Arabidopsis thaliana: one gene and its partners. The protein of the gene in region 1 interacts with the protein of each later gene in a pairwise test. Each region holds a gene or a part of one and is shown on either strand. Other genes may lie near its edges.

Region 1 (7,958 bases):
TCTGGTTAAGTTTGTTTCTTGTCAGCGTCTTCTTATCATTTACTTAGGCATCAAACTTTTGTCGGCATGCCATTGTGTTTGAGTAAGAGGCCAACTTTGATATTTCAAGATAAATTTGTGCCTCCTATATGCAACTGAGATCTCTGTTTCAAAGCTACAACGTTCTCTGTTTTCGTAAAAAGGACTTTAACAGCGAACTTTTAGAAATTGTAGACTAGTAGTGAGAAATTTTTGACTCACATCATCTTTTTCTCATGTATCTGAATAAAGAAGAAGTGTGAGATTTTGATTCATAAGCCATTAATGGTGTTCACGTTTCTATAGCTGAAATGGTCAAAAACAAAAGATAGATGCAACACATGATCCTCACTTGTCTCTTTATTATGAGTTTAATTTTTTTCTTTCTATTCTCATCTCTTCCACACCTTTTGTTTGTAGGTCCACTTCTCTCTCTCTTTTTCTCATCTTCTTTAATATATTTAATTGGATAATACTATTTCTATATATATAATCGTCGTTGTCATACTATTTATACTAATATCGACACATGAAGTGAATCTAAACATTCCCACTTTACAAAGGTGATTGTCCTTTTACATCCAATCAATCGACTTACTATTTATGAGATACTCACTTCTTTGTCCTTAATGTAAGATATTAAGGCTCTTGAGTGATAGAAATCAAACAAGTGTTTTGGTTGTTTTGTTTATGCTAATGAATGAAGTATGGTCTATGTTGATTGAAAGGATAATATCTAAGTATAGATATTTCATGGTGGTAATGTCTAAACTTGAAATGATGGATTTATATAACTTTATATATGCAACCAGCAAGCAAACAAGAGCATATACATAAAGTTATTTATTAGCAGAGAGCTTCCTATTTGCTCAGAGAGTCATCAGTCTTACATGCCAATGATGTCAGGCACTGAGAGTCGGGTTGCAAATGGAAGGCAAACTCAACACCTTCCTTGACCACACTCAAAATCTCCGATATACATTCCTGAGAGCCCACCTGCAAGCTCCAAGCCCAATCTTAAAAAGAAACTATGGGTATCCAATTTTTTTTTTTTGTGTACTTTAATCTTGAGGTAGTAGTATTTTCGAGAATACTTTAGCACGTTACAAAGTTAGCAACGAATTTTCTTTTTCTAGATATGACTTATAAGAGCCAAACCTTTTTATGTTATAGAAATCTTTGTCACTTTGAGATACTTTTATTCAGGATTTAATAAAGAGTGTTGGATAAAGCACGTGGGACCTTTTGCTCTCTCGAGATTGGCTCTTCGAGTCAGGAAAAGTTAAGACTGTGAAGCAAACCCTATATATGATACTGTATACAATATATTTTTTGGATAAAGGATTGTGTAAATTAAATGATCAAACTATATACTTACTATTCTGGCCTTAGTGGTTATAAGATACTAATATTATACTGTAAATGATCAAAACAAGATACTATTGTCAGAATGCGAAAAAATAAAGCGAAGTCCAACTTAATAGTTTACGAACTTTTACTTCATATTATGAGTCGAATGAGAGTGAATACTGGAATTGGTGATGATGCAGAAAACCGGATTAGACGAAACAAAGAGAACATAATACAAATCATTGGTATGGAACTGACAAAACGTACGAAACAATCGATGTTAAATGGTTAGAATAAAATTTGGATGATAACCATAATAACTGCAGTGCATGTATAATCATTAAATTTTAGCTATTTTTAATACTTGGAATAATAGATGTTTACTATTTTTATCATATACCTAAAGAAGTTCTTGTAATTTGTACTTAGTACCTGATTTGTCGTTCTAATCCTAAAAAAAGATTTGGTCCTTTGTAGTTTGCTTCAAAGGCCCCGAATCTGCATTGATCATGGTCTGGCTCGGGGGTGTTAAGCACACTTTTAACTAGTGATTATATGTCTAATTGGGACATCAATATACCTCCATGCACCTAGTAATGTGACCATCCGTATAATATGTGTACTATCTCTTCTTCAGCTAAAGGTTAACGAGCATAATCTGGTTAAGCCCTATGTTTGGTTTGCATTATAACAATCTCTCTGAAATTTTGTAGTATTTTCATCAATTTAAATTAGTATATTTTCGACAATTTGAATTGTTCTTTGAGTCTGATCACAGTCAAGTACACGAACTATATGCTGATCTGATCGAATTCATTCTACTATATACACACACATACACAAACATTTTACAGTACACCACTAATACTATAATCCCAATAACAAGAAAACCTAAAATATAAGTACACATTAACAAAAGAAAACAGTTTGCAAGTTATTAAGTGGTTTTTGGATTTGGTTTATAGTTTTTAGATTTTTGCATTAATTATATATATATATATATATATATATATATATATATATATATATATATATATTTGAAACTAAATATGAAAAAGTTATAGCGTTAAAAAGTGAAAAACCAATGAAACATAGATTTTAGATTTCCTTTAAAAATCTAGATTCCTTATTTTTATAAGGAAAACCATTTCTCCCAATCTTAATTGGCTATAAAGTAGATTTTTGGAAAAAACTTAAGCCATAAACAATTTCAAAAAATCTATAACCATTTCAAAATCTTTAATCCTTTTTTTTTTTTGTCAAAACAAGTCTTTTATCCAAATGAAAAAGCACCCAAGAAAAAAAAAAAAAAAACTATCCAATAATTGAGTCAGCTCTCATAGGCTTAAACAATACTTTAAGGATCAACATTAAATAATTACCACACTTGAGGGGTAAAACTAAAAACGGTAAATAAAACACAGAAAAACGACAACGAGGGGCAAAATCGAAAATAAAGAGAAAATAGTGGGATAATAGAAGAAAGCATCCAATGAGAGTAGTGAAATCAGAGAAAGACCTTTACTCCTTTAGTCCAATACCATCCAATCAATCTTTTTCTTTTTTTTTATAAAAATCTCTCACTGAGTCTTTTTATTTAAATATTATAAAAAGGAGAGAGAAAAAAAGTTTGTTGGAGGATTCGTCTCTCTCTCTCTCTCTTTCTCTTTCTCTCATCTTCTTCTTATCTCCCTCCAAAGACGGCGACTGTATAATCTATCATTTCTTCACAGTAACGCTTTCATCGGAAGATCTCGCCGGAAAAAAACTTCTCTCTGAGATCAGATCTCTTACGATTCTCAGCTCAATCTTATCTTTTCCTTTGTTGTGCTGCTTTTCACTCTCTTCTGCGCGACGAATTTGGCCTTGTTTTTTGTTTGTTTGTCGTATCCGACGCGGAGGTATTGAGAAACCGTGGCTTAAGACGGAGGAAGAAGATGGAAGCTAACGGGATTGAGAACTTGACGAATCCGAATCAGGAAAGAGAGTTTATAAGGAGACATCATAAGCATGAGCTTGTGGATAATCAGTGTAGCTCTACGCTTGTTAAACATATCAACGCTCCTGTTCATATTGTAAGCTTCTCCCTTCTTCTTCTTCCTTCATGCGCTCTGATTTTCTCTGTTTAAGTTAATCGGTTCTTCTTATTGTTGATTCAATCCAGAATTTGAAATCTCTCTCTATTTTCATCGATTGTTGATCTTACTGATGAAGAATCGATTGGTTTCTAATTATTGAAAGCTTACATAGCATTTGTGTAATCCCAATCTGAGTTTGTTTGATCTGGTTTTGCTTTATTGGAAAAAAAAGCTCCCAAAAACGCTTATGGATTAGTTTGAATCTCTCTGGTGAATAGGTGTGGTCACTTGTGAGAAGATTTGATCAGCCACAGAAGTATAAGCCGTTTATCAGTAGATGTGTGGTGAAAGGAAACATGGAGATTGGTACAGTAAGAGAAGTTGATGTGAAATCTGGACTACCAGCAACTAGAAGCACTGAGAGATTGGAGTTACTTGATGACAATGAGCATATTCTCAGTATCAGAATCGTTGGTGGTGATCATAGACTTAAGGTAATCAATGAATCAAAAGGTTCGTTTTCTGTTTACAGTGAATCAAAGACTTATATGTTCTATATTGTTTTTGGATTTAGAACTATTCTTCAATCATCTCTCTTCACCCCGAGACTATAGAAGGAAGAATAGGAACACTTGTGATTGAGTCATTTGTGGTTGATGTACCAGAAGGAAACACAAAGGATGAGACTTGTTACTTTGTTGAAGCTTTAATCAAATGCAATCTTAAATCTTTAGCTGATATCTCTGAACGTCTTGCGGTTCAAGACACGACAGAATCGAGAGTCTAAAGATCAAAGGAGTAAGAAACTATTGAATCAGAGAGATTTTGGTTGCCATGGATGAAGCTCTCAAAGGGAAAAAGAGAGAGTGGGTGAGTTTCTTTGAGGATGGACAAGGCAAAAAAAGTATCATCATTTATCCAGTTACATAATAAGTTTCTCATTTGCTATTTTTGGGGTCATTTCACTTTCAAACCCTCTTTTTAATTTCATGTGTCTAATTTAATGAATGTGTTTTTGGTTTCTTCTCTATAGAACCAAAATATGATTTTGGAGTTTAGCTTTAGCAACTTGCAGGAATCTTTTTACAATTTGCAGAGAAGACATGTTAAAAGTGTGTGTGATCATGGGGTTCCACTCTCTTCTTCCTTTTTTAACACTTTTAGTTGCACCCATAAAGGCCACACACCGTCTTTCTTATATTTATTTTTTCTACTTTTAAAGATGAACCAATAGGGTTTGTGAGATGTGAAAAATCTCCACAAAGGACCATTAAGGAAAGAGATCTTTGTTGTTGTTTATAGATTTTGTCTTGACTTGTGATTGGGGAAACACACTTTAGCTCCATTAGCTGTAAAAAGTTTTGTATACTATTTTTACAATGCCAAAGTGTTTCTGTTTCTTTTTTCCTAAATTACAGTAGTGGATAAATATTCGAATCGGTCACATTGACAGGTGGTATCATTAGAATTGCTTCTATATGTTTTCTTTCAATTTTGTTCCAAACAATACATGTAATTTCATCAGAGGACCTTGTAAGCTGCAATAAGATTCATTGGCTTTCAAAATCACATCAGAGAATAAAGACAACAATTATTACTTTCTTTTCAATGTTGTTTTACATTTTTCTTCATAGAATTGAACAGAATGTCAAAAAGGGCAAAAGGTTCAAGGTCGAAGCGAAAACTAATGAGCTAATGAAATAAAAACTACAATAATTTTGTAACATGAGATCAATAATTTCATATGTTTTTCTTTTGGTTGTTGTTGTAGAAGCTATGGGAGATTTACTCTGTACAAAGCTTTGAATCTCCCTTTTTCACCCAAAGAAGTGTGTTTATGGTAATGAATGATGTGATTAGGCCAATACCAAGTCTCCTTCTTCTTGTTGTTGCTCTTCAAATTTCTCGCCTTCCTGCTTTGGAAGGAGAATACGCTTTATGTCCTCTGCGGTTAGCGTTTCATACTCTAGAAGTGCGTTTGCTAACGTGTGTAGCTGCTTCTCATGCTGGGGAAACACACACACACACACACACACACACACACACAAAATCGAAGTGAGATTAAACAATTTTGATCCAGTAAAAAATGCGACTATCTGTAAACTTGGCACAAACCCGTTTCAAGAGAGATTTCACTCTCTCATATGCTTCTCTAAGAAGCTTCACAACCTATACATGTATCAACACCACCAGATGAATGATTAGATTTAGGACCAATGGGATTTGAATGAGGGAACTAAAAAAAGTGAATAGAGAGTCTCTACCTCGGCATCAATGCGTGATTGCATATCAGAGCTTGGTCTTTCTTTTATATGAACTGGTCCTATTGCCTCACTCATCCCACAACTCGATACCTTCCATTAAAAAGAAAAGCATTACTACAACTACAACAAGAGGTAAGATCCATCTTCTCGCATTAACTTGTAAGTTCACCTTAAGGATCTCAGAGACTAAGTCCCTCAAACCTCATTCCAGAAAACTAAAAGAACCAAAGGCTAACTCTTTTGATAAACCAGAAAAAAAGAAGCAATTAAGCACATGTACATGAGGTTACCATGTATTGTGCAAGTTCAGTGGCCTGTGACAGATCGCTACTCGCTCCAGTGGTAATATGGTCCAAGCCAAAGATGAGCTCCTCTGCAACTCTTCCTCCCATACATACATCGAGACGAGCTAATAACTGCCTCTTGCTCACTGATGTTTCATCGTTTGAAGGTAACTGTGTAACCATTCCCAATGCAGATCCACGTGGCATTATAGTCGCTTTGTGGATCGGGTGCGCACCTTTCGTATTTAAAGCGACAATAGCATGACCACTCTCATGGTATGCAGTGAGCTAAAGAGGCAAAGAAGTAAGTGACAGGTCATATCATGTTTGAACTCCACATCCAAACACTTCTATGTTGTTAAGATATTGGAATATACCTTTTTTGAGTCCTCTGATACGAACATTGTCTTCCTCTCTGTGCCCATGACAATTCGGTCCTTTGCGAATTCCAACTGTTCAGAAGATAACTTCTCAGCACCTTCAACAGCTGCTTTTATGGCAGCAATATTTACCAGGTTTGCAAGATCTGGAAAAAAGTTTGGTGAGATTGGGAAAAATGTGGTGAGTCATTGAATCTTCATAGGTTAGTGACAAAAGAAGACACTTCTGAATTTCAGGGTGACTAAACTGTAGTTATAGATTTAAGAAACTCACCAGCACCATTGAATCCAGGAGTTCCACGAGCAATTGCTTTAACATCAACATCTTCTGACATAGGTTTGCCTTGGAGGTAGAGTTCCAAAATCTCTTCGCGTCCACGGACATCCGGACTGGGTACGACAATCTAAAATCAAATCTGTCAGTAATTCATTTTCCTTTCGAAAAATCTGAAAAATTGTTCGTAACATAGCAGTGCACCTATCTAAATACTGTTCAAAAAGATACAGATGAAAAAACATTGAACACCAGATGCGCAAAGTGACAAAGTCAAAAACAAATCCTCAAAACAGGGGGTTTCTCAAGACAAGAAAAAGGTATCAGTTCTTCGTATTCCAGTAACTCTTATCTGCAATACTAATACGTCTCAGAAGAATAACAAGAAAATGAAAACTTACATGTCTATCAAATCTACCCGGTCTTGTCAGAGCTGGATCAAGTATATCAGGCAAGTTTGTTGCAGCCATAACTATTATTCCCTGCATAACCAAAATAGAAAGCAAAGTACTATTATATTCCTGCAAACTAGCGGAAGTAATCACAAGATACACTACTCCTAATCAACAAGTACCTCATTCTGCTCAAAACCATCCATTTCAACAAGTAGTTGATGCAATGTCTTCTTTGTATGCCCTTCCCATTGTTTTCTTGTGGATCCAACAGCATCAATTTCGTCAATGAAAATAATACAAGGTGCCTGTAACACATGATCGTCATTAAATATAAAAGTTCATTCATGGTAGCCTAATCAACCAAACTCTTTTAAAATAGCTGATAAGCAGTGACAAGTTGAGTCATACCTTCTTCTTGGCTGCCTGAAACAAGGATCTCACACGGCGAGCTCCTACCCCAACAAACCTGTAAATCGAAGGGAAAAAAACATGATATTAGAAGACATTATCCATTATTGAAGAAGCCACCTGATTGAAATAATTACTAAATAGATAATGATAATGTTGCCTAAGGCAAATGCCAGAGAAAGATAGCTAGAAGAAGGCTCACATCTCTTCAAATTCAGATCCAGCTCTATAGAAGAAGGGTACTCCAGCTTCTCCAGCAATTGCCTTCAAAATTTAAACCGTGTTAACTTATTGTAAAATCAATCAGAATATTGGTAGCGTAATAAGAATTTATTATTAAGTGGAATATGACTGTGAAAACACACACTCATAATAAGTAATAACCAATTCAACAAGAGACGACAATATAACAACTATGTGAGAACTTACTTTGGCCAGCAATGTCTTTCCAGTACCAGGTGCCCCGGTTAGAAGAATTCCCTGGAGGCAAACATTTCAGAAATGTTT
Region 2 (7,289 bases), on another chromosome or scaffold:
CTCTTCCCTGGCTTCAAGCGCATCAACTTCCTCACTTGTTAGCAGATCCACAACTGGTTCATAAACATCCAAGTCTTTCCTTTTCCTGTCAAGATCATGGACAAAATTTGTTATTTTTGGATTCTGTTATAGCTTTTGCTTGGTCTTGCAAGTCAAATTTGTTCGTGTCCATAAATCTTATTTTTTGAAAAACTCCCATTTAGTGATAAGCAATGCAGGAAGAGAACTTCTTCAATTTCCACAGAGTTTATTTTGTAATCAAACAATTTCCAACCTAGTGATTCGGTTTTCTATGTTCAATAACAACATGTAACATCACCAGAAATTACTATTAGAACAATCTCAGTAGGGACCAGCTCCAAATATTGGGATAATCTACTATCAAATGATATAATGCATGAAGAGGTGGCATTCAAGAGTATGTGTAAGAAAAACGCTCAGGATGTGTCGCAAAGTTAACTTATCTTATAAACGATCTAGCTGCTAGAAGTCAGTCGTCCAACAGATCTTAAGAAGACAATGCAACAGAGAAAATGTATGCATTAAGTGGGTAAGAAAATCACTTACCGAACTACACTGGACTTAAAACTGAATAACTTCATTAAGTCCATTGACAGGCCACTTGCCTTGCTGCACATATAAGATGGAAAGTTATTTTAGAATTTTTTGAGCTAGGCTCTAATATTACCACAAGGTAACTTGGATAGACAAATAGGGGCAACGTGAACATACCTCGCTGAACCATGATCAGATCCTCTGCGGCCTTTCTTGCTTAATCTACTCTCCCTAGCTGAAGCCACACTTTGAATTGCAATCTGGCAAGCAAAAACAACGACATGGTAACTCAGTAAGTTTGGCATTCTTGTTCAAAATAGAAAACATATATAGAGTATACAGAAATACAGAGAGAGTAGCTTAAAGTTACAATCAAAGTTTTAACCTCGTAAAGTTGTTCCCTTATTGCAAAGGCAACAGCAGGCTTCAGAGAGAAGGAGAAACCAAAAATCACTTGTATCAAACGTTTGAAACTTAGGTTCATTAGTTCAGATAATGAAATGTAAAAAATTGAGTGGTTATCTTACTCCAACTTCAGGGTCTTCAACACCTAAATCCTTGCACAAGGTTCTTGCAAATTCCTCAGGATCACTCTCAAAATTGTTTAGGTCCTGCAAAACGGCAATCAAGCTGCACTGAGAAAAAGAGTACAAACAATAGTTGAAATTGTTCAAAATCACCAAGTATTCTCACCCATAAGAACTGATCCTTGATGAGAGTATGGTTAACTCGGAGATCAAGCTGGCACAAAAAAGAAAGAAAGATAGCTTATCAGCTTCTAGAACTTCTTTTTTTCCAACAAATCACTCATGGACAAAAGAGAGAGGGATAAGGATATCTAGCGTCATAAAACCTTAATTGGTATGATTTTTTCACCAGTGTACATGTCTTGTCCTTCATAAGCCCGAAAGTCTGAGAGCTGAGACTGATAAAGCAGGAAGTTGACCAATGTAAGTAGAGATTTCTGAAGAAATTATTCCAATACTTACAAAAACAGAACAGAACATAACTGAAGCAAGAGTACATTCATCACAAAAGCACAGTCTTACAGATATACATCCCAAAGTACAATGCTATAAACAGGCCTCTTCTCGAGTAAAAAAACCTAAAGAGTTAAAAACAATAAGTCGAAAGTGTGATTGGTTTAAGACTAATAGGTGACCTTAAATTTAAGCTCATCTCTATGACAAGCAAAAGAACTAACAACAAAATCAGAGCAGAAGAAAAACTAAAGATAGGTCAGTGTGAACTAGTTTAGAAACAACCTGAATAGATTGGGCAATCTGAGTGACAAATGCATAGGGAAGTTTCAAGTCTTTAACAGTTCTTTTGGCAAAGATAACGACTTCATTATCCGGGTCTGTATCCAAAACCAAAAACAAGAATCAGTGAATCACATACACTGCTACTGTAATAAGATGCGAGAAGATGGAAAACAAAAAAAAAGGTAGGGTTTTTAAGAGAGAAACCTGAAGGGTTCCAAGTGAAAGCATCTTTGTAACGCTGACCTTCGAATTGAATGTCCAATCGAATAGGTACCAAGTTTTCAGCAGTGGGCCTATAGCTCCGATTACAAATCGATTCATCAGAAAAAACAAAAACACATGAACTCGATTTCGATTTCAAAACAAACAAAGTAGAGGAAGCGACGAAACTTACATCCTGAACTTGACGGGACCTTTCCAACCAGTAGACACTAAACCCTTCATCCTTAAACCCCCAAATTTCACAAATTGAGTTTCGAAGAGAGTCAGCGAGAGAGTGTGGGAAATTTCAATTTCTCGATCTTTTTCCGGCGCTAGCTTAATTTATTTCAGAATCACCCTTATATTCTAATGTCTTTACACATTTCACCTCTAATTTGGAATTTTCCCATTTTGGGACGAATTATCTGGATCCGATCCTACGATCAATTGCAGCATTTGGGCTTTAAACGAGCTTGTTAGTCATTTAGTGGGCTTTAAATGGGCTCAACATTAAAATTGTACATTGGTGACAACCAACGAGACGGCTGCCGGCAGATCAAAGAGAATCATTCTCTTCCTGACAACGTTCCTCTATTCCATGTTCGTGCTCCCCATAACAACGTTCGTGTACTTTTTTCCTAGTCATGTAACACATTCGAAGAAACACACGATTACAAACATATAAAAAATCTTTGCATTATTATTATTCAGAACAAAAAAGAGAAGTCTTGGATATTGTGATTTATTTATAAGAAAAAACACACTCAAAGGTGTCATATAAATAAATATATGCATCAATCAATTCTCCAACTTCTTCAAGGCCTTTGTTGCAATATGCAGCAATAGCTCCGTCCCGCCTCAAGTCTCTTCATCAATGCCTAAATCTTACACGTCTCGTAACTGCGCAATCACAGCCTTGACCGATCCAAGTTTTAATACCTCTCCGGTCTCGTGATCTTTAGTCTTCTCACGGTTTCAAGAAACATACTAAACAAAAACATCGATTTCAAAAATTAGAGAATAGCTATAACCGAGGAAATTATACCAATGTAAGATCAAGATATAAGATTCATACTCCCATGGAATATCTCCGACCATCATCCAATCTCCATCCTTGTCTTCATATGTCAAAACATGATGTTTTCGATCTCGATTACCGCCTGTTATAGCCAAGACAATGCATGGATATACTTCAAACTGTTTGAATTTAGTTGAATGTTGTTTTTACGGAATTATGTGTTGTTCATTAATTACTTACAGATGATTGAAGTATCGAACATGTGAGAGAGATTTTCTAATAGACTCTCGTAGCCTGAGAATACGCAAAGGTCGAGTTTTCTTCCAATGGGAACACCTTCCATATAAACCTTAACAAAGAGAGAAGTGTCATCACCACGACGAAGAAGACGACGACCCTTTAGTGTATCTCTTAATCTAGACTTTATCGGTGGCCAATCTTGTCTTGCTTCTCTACAAAAAAATAAAGATTTAAAACACAAATGTGAACAAAAGAAAACAGAGCAAAAACAGAACATAGGAAAAAACAGAGAAGTGATGTGAATAAGACCTTTGTGGAGAAGTAGAAGGAAATGTGAGACTAAGGGAGAGATTAACAGAAGATTCAGAAGGAGAAGGTTTAGTACTGTCGACAGAGGATGAAGAAAATGAAGAACAAGAGTTAGAGACCTCCATTAATGAGACCTTGAAGCTGCAGAGCTAGCTTCATGCTTCCTTCTCTTCTCTATTGAGAGTGCTCTTCATGTCTCTCTCTCTCTATTTCTATTTCTCTCTGTCTAGTTAAACAAAAAAGGACTAGTAGGTGATTCTATTGCATAGATTTTGAATTTAAAAATTGATTTAATCGACTTTGAAATTTAATATAAATAAATAATAGGAACATAAGGTTCCCCACATTTAACTATGAACTTTCAACCTTCTAAATATGAACACACATTGATTTCTGAAAACCACTGTAATAATTACCCGATTAGATACTTAATTCATGGGTTTAGATCTTTGGAGTTAGTTAGTAGTAAAAATGTGAAATTATGGTTTTGAGATTTGTTTACATGTAAGATTCGAAGTTTCCGTAAAAAGGTGGTATCCAAGGAAAGTGTGTCTAAATGATGTTGGAGTTAATCTGTTAAGGCTTTGATTTTAATTTCTCAACTGCTCAGATTCTTTAATTAGGAGAGATAAGGGCCAAAAAAGGCTTTATTGTCTAGCCGTAAACAGAAACAGAGCATCACATCACTTTCACTTTCTTACACATCAATATTTGAAAGAAAAAAACTGAGTCTATAGACTATGAACTTGGGGGATCAATTTTTTAGACCCTTCTGTTGATAAGAAAACTCAATTGTCTCTTATGACACATTAATGTAACAGACCATTGAAAATTGCAGAACCAATAAAAATAAGGTAGACTTGAAGAGTTTTGTGTATATTGTTTTTGTGGAGCAGACAGTGTTCTTTTCTTTAACTATACGTTTCCTGTTAATGTCTCTTTAGCTTTGTGGATTGTCTCTCTTAGAAGCCCAAATCTTTTACTCTTTTTTGAAAATCAAAATAGAATTCGTTGATTTATGATAACTTCAAAATATAAAGTAGACATAAATTGTTACATCACATAATGCTCATTGGCTGTATTGATAATAATATTAGATTCTAGAATCATCATGGGAAGTGCACTCTAATAGTTACTTTGTAATAAAGCCTACCTTGGATGTTGGATCGATAAGACTCCTATTAGCTATTATACGATCTGTCTTTGGACATGCATGTCTGGTCTCTAGGGATCCTTCTTGTTAGAATTTCGATATATATAACTTTATAATGTCTAGTAGTCTAATGATGAATGTTTACTCCTCTTTATACTTATAATAATAATTAAGACTACTATAAGTCTATAATCAATTAAACTTTTATCAAAAAAATATGTCCAAGGAGTTATTACTCGCATACCTCGACTTAAAAGAGTTTTGTCATTAGTTTTCGTTGAAGTAAGTAAGAACCAAAGATAATAATCAAACTCCTGATTTTCTGAAGTTTCTTAAAATGGTATTCAAATTTTGGCCATAACTCTCAATATATTAAGACCGAGCATGCGAACGAGAAAAAATATGATCACCATGGTTTGCAGCTCGATTACTTCTAAGTTCTAACCATGGTAAATTTAAACGTTTTGTTGAAGTAATATAGAGAGGCATGCAATAGTATTGTGCCAAAAAGTTATAGCAAGAGAGATCAATATCATGATATGTACTCCTAAATTAACGTGGCATGTTCATGCATAGACAAAGATGCAATCATATCTCCACGTTTGCATACAGCTTCAAATAATAAAATCATATAGTCATACAAACAAAATGAATGTCCGCTGCTTATGAAAATTAATTATTTGGATAGTACTTCGTATAAAAGTTACATCAAATGATTTTAGTTGATTTTAAGACAAGGGGTCCCTTGAGTGATACACAAACTCATCATGAGTATTCTGATCCATTTCATGACGAATAAATTAAAACACAATCAGAAGGTTGATCATGGGTTGGGAAAGATGTATTGGTCGGTCGATATGCCACATGTTATATTATGTTTTATACTTATTCCTGAATAGAAAGATATGTATGAGTCGAAATATACAAAAGAAGGATGAAACTTGTTCTTCTTTATAACCTTATAAAATGTTCACATTGTTTATGAGTGATTTCCCGCGTCCATTCCATACGACTTCATGATTAACATCCCTCAATATATTGATTATGACAATGTTCGAAAAAACTGTTAGATGCCAGGCAGACGACGATTCAACCGGCCAAGTTTTGTTTCCGCGCGCGCGCATAAGTCCACTATCTAATATGCAACCATTACGGTAGAAGTTTACTTGGTCCATTTTCATTGATAACAACAAAAAATCGTAAAACTTTAAAATTATGATGAAAAACGTAAAAAAGAACATGGGAAAATATATGGCGGAATCACAAAGCATGAAAAAATGCTTCGGAATGATTGACTGAATTTACAATTGGTAGAATTTAATTTTAAGAGATAACATTTAAAAATTCAAAACATTAGTTAGCTGTCTTTATACAAAAGAGTTATTTGTGTACCAAAAAATAGAAAACGAGATATATGACCACATGATGAGTTTATGCATGCCTATTACGCCATGCAAATAGATACACACACACATAGTTGTGCCTCTGACTTTGTCTGCAAGTACGTTTGTATGGTTCTAGACAGTAATTATTGTCCTAAACCCACACGCTCTGTGAATACTCACTAAAGGTTGTTTTCCGTAGAAATCATGAACAAAGACTTTAAAAGCAAAACAGAACAATAAATCAATTAATAAGTTCAACGGGATATAGTGGAAAAGAAAACACAGATACACACCATTGGATTGAAACAGTTGCATTTGTGGTCTTACATAAACCTACGTGTTCTTTTATAAGCCAACCAATACTTTTCTCTTTTTTTTTGTTTGAAACGAGTTGCAGACTTTGAGTGGCCCCAAAGAAGAAAGAAAAGATGCAATTTCCTTTGGTTTGATATTCTCTTCAACCTCTTACCTCTCTATTCTCGTCTTTAGCAAAATCTCAAAAGACAAAAAGATATTGATGTCTCTCCAACGACCCAATGGGAACTCGAGTTCGTCTTCTTCCCACAAGAAGCACAAAACTGGTAGGTGTTGAAAGAAACTTATCTAATATTTAACTTAATTTGGTTTAGAGAAATTGGTTTGTATAATTCTCAGAGGAAAGTGATGAGGAGTTGTTGATGGTTCCTGACATGGAAGCAGCTGGATCAACATGTGTTCTAAGCAGCAGCGCCGACGATGGAGTCAACAATCCGGAGCTTGACCAGACTCAAAATGGAGTCTCTACAGCTAAACGCCGCCGTGGAAGAAACCCTGTTGATAAAGAATATAGAAGCCTCAAGAGGTAATCAATGATGAGTAAAAAAACTTTTTTTTCTTAGCATTCGATTTGTGGAATTGAAATGGTAAAAAAGAAACTGTGGTGAAAAATTACAGATTATTGAGGAACAGAGTATCAGCGCAACAAGCAAGAGAGAGGAAGAAAGTGTATGTGAGTGATTTGGAATCAAGAGCTAATGAGTTACAGAACAACAATGACCAGCTCGAAGAGAAGATTTCTACTTTGACGAACGAGAACACAATGCTTCGTAAAATGCTTATTAACACAAGGCCTAAAACTGATGACAATCACTAAATATTTACCCTTTAATCCATTGTTCAGTGTT
Region 3 (7,842 bases), on another chromosome or scaffold:
AATTAAAAATATCAAGTAATTAAGGATAATAATGAAACATGTGTGTGCACGTGTGATGGAGAGAAACAAACAAATCAGCTTTAGAATTCAGATTCCTTCTTGTCACACAGTTTTCGTTTCTCTTTCTCTTTCTCTCACACTCTCTGCCTATCTCCGCCGCGGAGATCCATCGTGTTTTCTACTTCTGTTGGTATCCATGGATTCTCTCGTTGAATCCGGTTGGAAGGTACTTCGTATTCCTCTATCTCGTCGCGTTCCTTTGTATGCGATTCCTACGTTTTTTTTTTTTGTTTTGTTTTCAGAGATTGAATCGTGTTTTTTGTTTCTCGGTCTCTGGCGACTTGAGTGTACTGCATTTATGATACAAGTGTAGGTACGGGATTAGTATCTGCCGTGTTAGGTTGATTTTGTGTTTGTCGTCTGTGGTCCATCGTATTGTATTGTTGTGGTCCCTTTATGTTGAGATTGAATTGGTTTCGTGTCGATTGCGTTGTGGTTTCAGATCTGGATTTGACTGTTCTAGTTACAGATTATTACTGATTTCGTATGTGATCTCTGTTTGTGCTTGTATTTTTTTTTGGAATTTGAGTGGGATTTATGTATTGTTGTTGGAGCTTGGACTAGCTTAGAGGATCTGTGATTGTGATACGTGTTGATAAGCAATAGGTTTTCCTTGAACGTCTTCTTAACTTGCTTTTCTGCGTGAGTGACTGGATGGATGGTGTCAATGATATACAATTGCCTTCAGTTTTCGTGGAATTGAACAAATTTTATCTCCCTTTGGCAATCATGTTTAGCTCTTTAGTTTGACAGTTCTAGCTGTGACACTGACCCTTCTTTGTGGCGATGATGCAGTACCTTGTTACGCATTTCAGTGACTTTCAACTGGCGTGTATTGGGAGTTTTATACTTCATGAAAGCGTGTTTTTCTTGTCTGGACTCCCTTACATTTTCCTAGAAAGGACTGGTTTTCTGAGCAACTACAAAATTCAGGTTTGTCTTTTCTTCTCATGATTCAGTGGTCTTCTAACTAATAGCTTTGTGTGTCTGTTCAAATATAAACTGAATGGAAAGATATCACCAAGTTGTCAGTGTTCTCATTTCCCCAATGGTAATGTCAAAGTGATAACTGGTTTAGCTTGTCTTCTAGATTTATCAAGTACTCTTGTTTGGTCTTTTGCAGACCAAAAGTAATACTCCTGAAGCCCAGGGAAAATGCATTGCTCGACTATTACTTTACCATTGCTGCGTAAACTTGCCCCTCATGATGGCGTCGTATCCTGTATTCAGATTCATGGGCATGGAAAGCAGTTTTCCTCTGCCGTCCTGGTATTATCAGGTTCTTTAGTGCTGAAAGCTTTTTTTGCCTTTGGGTTCTGATGTTAAACTCTTCCAATGGGCAATATATATAAAATGTCAGTGTTGAGCTGCATGAGAAGAACCTGCATTATGTTTGATCTGGTTTATGAAACTATATCTGGTGACGCTCTTGCAGGAAAGTGGTGTCTGCCCAGATCTTATTCTACTTCATCATTGAGGATTTTGTATTCTATTGGGGTCACAGGATCTTGCATACTAAATGGCTCTACAAGAACGTGCACAGTGTGCATCATGAGTAAGCTATCAGTACTCACCATCTTTTTTGTGCTTGACAATGTTAGTTCACTCATGGTCCTCAATAAACAATCTTATGGTATTACTTATATACAGGTACGCGACACCGTTTGGTTTGACATCAGAATATGCTCATCCCGCTGAAATTCTGTTCCTTGGTTTTGCTACCATTGTTGGTCCGGCTCTCACCGGGCCTCACCTGATCACCCTTTGGTTATGGATGATGCTCAGAGTTATTGAGACAGTTGAGGCACATTGTGGTTATCATTTCCCATGGAGCCCCTCGAATTTTCTTCCTCTATACGGCGGGTAAGATAAGACTTCTAACCTGTGATTGCCTTGAAAGAGCAACACCTTAAACCTAACAGATCTTTAATATTAATGTGGGAATCATTTGCTTACAGTGCTGACTTCCATGACTACCATCATCGATTACTCTACACAAAGTCTGGCAACTACTCATCAACGTTTGTTTACATGGACTGGTAAATTATTGAACTCTGTTTCTTACTTTAACAGAAGTCATAACTATAATAAACATGTAAATATGTTTATCTATGTTACTTCAGGATCTTTGGCACCGATAAAGGTTACAGAAAACTTAAGGCCCTAAAAGAAACCTGACAACAAACAAACGTGAAATTCGATTCCCGAGAGAGGTCTTGTTCTCAAAAAACCTTCTTTCTTTTGTTTTGTCTCTACCATTTCCTCAACTTTAGTCATAAGAACATCATTATTTGCTACAATTTGGGTTGTACAATCAAAGCTGCTAGTCTGAAGTCGATTCGATGTTGAAATTTATACGTGACCTCGTTTCTATTGGACTTGTTGTTACTACTGCTTACTGTTTTTCTTATTCTTTAGATACTGCTAATACTCATAATTGCATTTAGAACCTATGATCTACTCTCATGTCTTTGCCTAGCGGCAGAGACTAAGTACCTCTTAAAGTATCTTAATGCCTAAAAGTAAAAGGTATAGTATAGTCTGACAATCTTTTTTAAAGCAAAATGCTTTTACATGTCGACCTTCTTAATTTGATTTGATTTAAGATTATAAGCATACACGAAACAGGATTAGGGTTGACAAGAATAATTCTTATCATTTCTATTAATTAACCCTTTTTCGGGGTTTCCATAAAATCGGGTTAATTTTGTATACAACCAACGTATTCCAAGAATAACCAAAAAGCAAAACTGATATAGAAAGTTAAAGCAAAATTGTCTTCCTCTTCGACTAGTGTCCACTTACGTGTCCTTATCTTCTGAGATCAATCACAACGACACTGACGTTGTCACTACTGTTCCTTGCCAACGCCAGCTTTGTTAGCAATACTGACGCTTCCGTACAAGCCTTGTCCGAAATCGCCGGATCCTCATTATCTTGTCTTCTCCCACCACCACGGAGACACATACGCGCTACAGAGCAGGCGGTCTCGTTTGACACAACATCCCATAAACCATCACTAGCTAGTATGAGGCAGTCATCGTCTCTCCTGTCCGTTATGGTTACCTCCGGCTCGCAACTCACGTAAGGTTTCAAATAGTTGTCTCCTATTGCTCGTGACATTGCTAAGACTCCGAGAACTCTTGGACAGTCCCAATATATGACTCGTCCACCAGCTCCTTCGATTCGATCCAATTCGTCTGGCCGATCAGGCTGTGTTTCATTACAAAGAACACAATCTCCAAGTTAATCCACAAATCCAATCATTGCTTAAATGAAACTGAACATGTTTTGAACGGAACTGACCTTGTGATCGGTTGATAAAGGGACTGGTTTCCCATTGCGGCAGAGAACTGCTCTGGAATCGCCACAATTGGCGACAACGATCTTATCTGGCGTAATGACTGAGACAACAGCGGTTGATCCGACGGAATCACAAGCCGGTGTTTGTAGATCACACTTGCAATTTGCAGTCACGACGGAATCACCCCACGATACAACTTCCTTATCCATGCGTGTGAAGCTACGCTCCATCGTCGTTTTCCATTCTTCTTCATCTTCCATATCTGAACTTAGTTCTTCTTGCACCAGCTTGTGAAGCCTCTCTCTACACCTTGCTGCAACCTAAGGAAAAAAAAAAGATTTCGTATCAGCTAAAACTGAAAACATAGAATTTCGGAAAACGTAAGAATGCATGGTAACGGAGTCGTACGTGGGAACAACCATGGCCGTCATACACACCAAAGTAGTGTTGAGGAAATTCCGAATTCTTCGGAGAAGAAAATGAAGGATGAATTGCCACCGCATCTTCCATCTCTCTTCTTCTACCGCACACCGAAGAAACACCGTATCTTGGACTGGATACGTCGACATTTTGGTCAGAGAAATCCTCCCGAGAGCTTCGAGGAATTGAAGAGTATCTCGTAGCTAAAGCCTCCTGTTTACTACGCTTACAATTCTTCTCCCAATCTTCATGCATCACCGTTTGGAATCTCGGCCTCCGCCGTGAATGTGCCGGCGTTGATTCATAAACCGACGACGGACATGCGTCGGTCACTACTTCGTAACATATCTCGGCCATATCCGGGGAAAAAAACCTTAAACTTTGATGTCTTCAAATGGATTTTGCTCTGTATTTCTGATCAAGAAGAACAAAACTCTTTCTTAGATGTTTCAAGAAATGTTTTCTTTTTTGATGAACTCTTTCAAGAACTGGTGATTCCTGTTTTGGTTGCTTCACTGGTTAATAAAAATGCTCGAAAACCATTCAATTTGAGAAATAATGTCATTACACGTTACTTGCATTCTCTATTTTATACACAAAACCTGCCTCTTCAGAAACAATTTTAAATTCTTTCTATAAAAAAAGTAATCCACGTAAGGCGTCAGTATCGAGTGCGAGATTCGTGGTCCAATCAAATTGAGACGGCACGGATGACGGATCATAGGAAGTTTCCTTTCGCGCCACGATGCTTTTCCCCGCAAGGTAGGTTTTGTTTTCTGTATTTAAATAACTAGAGGAATTTCATTACGTTAGTTTTCACATTTGATTACATGAATAACCTAAGTTTAGGTATAAATCAGTGTTTACTTTCAAAACCTAACAAGTTTAGTGCTAATAATTTATGTTTGTCCCTAGACAGTAAACACGTTAACAAAGAAAACCTTAATAAACTTATATCTGAATTTTTATTATTATTGTCTTGAGAGTCCAGAGAATCATCGGAAATATAATATGTATGACTTATATGACAGTAATCAGCTATGTTGTGATGGCAGTCTGAACAATTATTAAACAAATTTATCATCGACAAAGCAATTTGAATTCTCATCGTCCAAATATCCAAGAAATGCGATAAAGTTTTATATACCCAAGAAGATTAAATAACAAGTTACATATATAGTTTGTTTTTGAATTTAGAAAATTTAAGGAATATTTTGTTTACATGTCTATTATTATGAGTCCTTGAATATGATATATGAGTATGTTTCCAACGACATGTCTTTTAGTTTAGTTGATATATAGAAGAAACTTGTTTTGTGCTATGCGTGAGAATAATAATAATAATAAATTTATATCAAATATATATATATATATATATATAATTATGAAGATAATTCTTTCTTTGTTTTGTGTTATGCGTGAGAATAATAATAATAAATTTATATAAATTAAAAAAAATTATGAACATAATCTTTACTCCTTTAGCAAAAGTAATCTTTTTAGGCTTTTAGCCATAACCCCCTAAAGATAGGGATACTAGAGTTGAAAATCGTACGGTCATCATTACATGACTATATAATCATATATCATAAGTAGAATATATACAATAATTATTTTATATATCAAAAGTCACAATACGATTGGAAACGAACAAACATCAAATGTGAACACAAGTAACTTCTTATCCGATAAGATAAAAGATTGAGTTCTTCGTCCAAACATTAGAAGGCATGAACGGAGTGAGCTCCCTCAACATAAGTTACATATAAAACTTGTATGAATTAATATGCAGTGAAACCACTAATTAATCACATAAATTTAAGCATGAATATATGCATATATACGTGTTTAAGGCAAAGAGAAGCCGTTAATAGTGAAACCTCCATCAACGCAAATGGTTTGACCTGTTATATAAGAAGCTGCGGGAAGACATAGAAATGCAACAAGCGATGATACTTCATTTGCCTCTCCAACACGTCTCAATGGTGTCACACTCTCCACCTTTTCTTTTACATCTTTATCACCGAGGAACTGAAACATTTTCACATAAACTTCGTAAGAAATAGTTAAACCATTTTTTCATACTATAAATGAAATGTATTTTCTTATTCATTGTCTTACATCTTTAGTTGACGGAGTTGTAATGAACCATGGACAAACAGAATTAGCCCTTATATTATCACTCGCCCACTCGCATGCTAAATTTCTCGCCAGCTGATTCATGGCTCCTAGAATGCGTATACATTTATTTAAGTCGCGATAGAAGCAAAGAATCATAAATTGTTCGAGTATGCGTATAATTATACCTTTGGTTGCTCCATAGATTGATGTATTACCCAAATTTACAACTCCAGCCACGGAAGACATGAGCACAATGTTCCCTGAACCAGAGGCTTTCAATAAAGGATGCGCGAGTTGCGAGAAATGGAAAGTTGACTCCAGATTTGTAGCTATTATAAATGAGAACTCTTCTGCTGTACACTCAGTCGTCGGCTTTAGTACACCTATTCCCACATTGGGTACCTATACAAACGAAGCAAACAAAATTCAACATGATTTTGGTCATTGTCGATCCAAGCTCATAGACGAGGAGGAGGAGAAGCTTATATATATACACACACACACTTACGAGGATGCTGAGTTTTCCTTGGAAGAGAGAGGAAACAGTTTCCATGAGTTTCTCTCGCTGGTCACGAGAAGAAACATCGCAAACAGAAGTGGTGACTTGTAACCCTTTTGCTTGCCATTCACGTAAGCTTTCTTGAAGCTGAGTTTCGTCTCTGGCACATGTGTGAACTCTTGCTCCCAACATGGCTAGTTCCTCCACCACAGCTTTTCTATTTATACATCAATATGAATTTATACATATCATTAAGCCTTTGATCTTTTCAGGGGTTGATTTGATTAAACATAGAAATACTATCAAAAGATCCACATAAGTCTATGATTGAGCCGTATTAACAAATAAAACGAAAGTCTATACATGATTGAAATCAGAGCTCAGTTTCGGTACTGAAATTATAGGGAAGTAAGTAATTAAGGTAGAAAAATTGGGACTGACCCGAGGCCTTTAGATCCACCGGTAACAAGAGCAGTCATGCCTTCAAGACTCCATTTAGGTTTGTCTCTCAAGCTTTCCCCTCTCTTTGCCATTTTTGGTTATCAGCCACAGAGCAGATATCTATTCATGGAGATTCTTATTTGTAACTCGGTATAGGAAAAATTATAGACCGTTTATACATATTATAATATCACACGTAACCATGCAAGTGTGTTGTAAATGGGGACAAAATATCGGATTCGACATCATTATTGGATGGTTGGTTGTACCAGTCCAGTCGGTTGAGTATTTAAAACTTCATAATTTTATTAGAACTAAATACAAAGTTCATATTTGAGAGTGGTAAAAAATGAATGTACAATATAAAAAACGAAAAGGATAAATAATAATTAGACATATGCTTAAACCTTCCAATTTACAGGTTTTTTTAGATGTCAACTGTCATTATAAATTCCAAAGTATCTGTGTTTGGATATATTTTGAAGTCATATACAAACTATTTAAATAATAAAAAAGGCACACTTAGCCTTCGTTTCTTCATTTTCTATACAATCATTTTCATATTGAGATACAACAAATAAAAATGTGAGCACCTGACTTTGATATATGGGACAACAAACAAACATCTAGCGTCAAAACGACCAAATTACTTATGGTTTGTGAGGAAGCCTTAGAAGGCATGTATGGAGAGATAGGCAGCTAGCTCTATCAACATTCAACACATCTCGTCTTAATTTATCAATTCATCTCTCCCCTTTGGTGGGTGATTTAGGACCGCAGGTTATAACTTATCAATGTCTTGAGAATGTAAGAACGTTGGTGGCTTCGTAGTAACAAATTATACTATAATTAAAAAAAAATTAGTATACTTGATCGGTTAAAACACAAAGCATGCATATATTGTGGAGAGTTGGATTACATTCCAAACGCCAATTTTTTTTGTTTGTTTGTGTAATTGTGTTTATGTTTACATATCTAAACAAATTGTAAATGTTAA

The links. Proteins that work in one complex are often made in the same cells at the same time.
Region 2: the proteins of RCAR3 (region 1) and IAA31 interact in binary tests that used the Arabidopsis thaliana proteins (3 or more experiments, as listed by UniProt).
Region 3: the proteins of RCAR3 (region 1) and HAI3 interact in binary tests that used the Arabidopsis thaliana proteins (3 or more experiments, as listed by UniProt).

The regions. Positions count from the first base shown.
Region 1 is NC_003076.8:21,557,721-21,565,678, forward strand, and holds RCAR3 (regulatory components of ABA receptor 3), read left to right. Parts: upstream 1-2,880; 5' UTR 2,881-3,305; coding exon 3,306-3,443; intron 3,444-3,724; coding exon 3,725-3,940; coding exon of another isoform or gene 3,941-4,020; coding exon 4,021-4,233; 3' UTR 4,234-4,989; downstream 4,990-7,958. Other genes in the region: FTSH11 (FTSH protease 11), read right to left, coding at 5,303-5,452, 5,562-5,615, 5,711-5,800, 6,001-6,282, 6,372-6,520, 6,649-6,778, 7,050-7,130, 7,223-7,348 and 3 more. UniProt on the Arabidopsis thaliana protein: Receptor for abscisic acid (ABA) required for ABA-mediated responses such as stomatal closure and germination inhibition.
Region 2 is NC_003074.8:6,017,328-6,024,616, forward strand, and holds IAA31 (indole-3-acetic acid inducible 31), read right to left. Parts: upstream 3,821-7,289; 5' UTR 3,714-3,820; coding exon 3,589-3,713; intron 3,492-3,588; coding exon 3,280-3,491; intron 3,182-3,279; coding exon 3,097-3,181; intron 3,009-3,096; coding exon 2,954-3,008; 3' UTR 2,646-2,953; downstream 1-2,645. Other genes in the region: BSH (transcription regulatory protein SNF5, putative (BSH)), read right to left, coding at 1-85, 568-630, 733-815, 941-979, 1,083-1,166, 1,249-1,296, 1,409-1,480, 1,821-1,915 and 2 more; HYH (HY5-homolog), read left to right, coding at 6,644-6,707, 6,781-6,967, 7,060-7,258. UniProt on the Arabidopsis thaliana protein: Aux/IAA proteins are short-lived transcriptional factors that function as repressors of early auxin response genes at low auxin concentrations.
Region 3 is NC_003071.7:12,605,154-12,612,995, reverse strand, and holds HAI3 (highly ABA-induced PP2C protein 3), read right to left. Parts: upstream 4,322-7,842; 5' UTR 4,142-4,321; coding exon 3,773-4,141; intron 3,685-3,772; coding exon 3,367-3,684; intron 3,274-3,366; coding exon 2,872-3,273; 3' UTR 2,646-2,871; downstream 1-2,645. Other genes in the region: SMO2-2 (sterol 4-alpha-methyl-oxidase 2-2), read left to right, coding at 197-226, 856-993, 1,184-1,329, 1,496-1,615, 1,711-1,923, 1,983-2,099, 2,184-2,238; AT2G29370 (NAD(P)-binding Rossmann-fold superfamily protein), read right to left, coding at 5,633-5,815, 5,906-6,012, 6,091-6,307, 6,414-6,621, 6,846-6,937.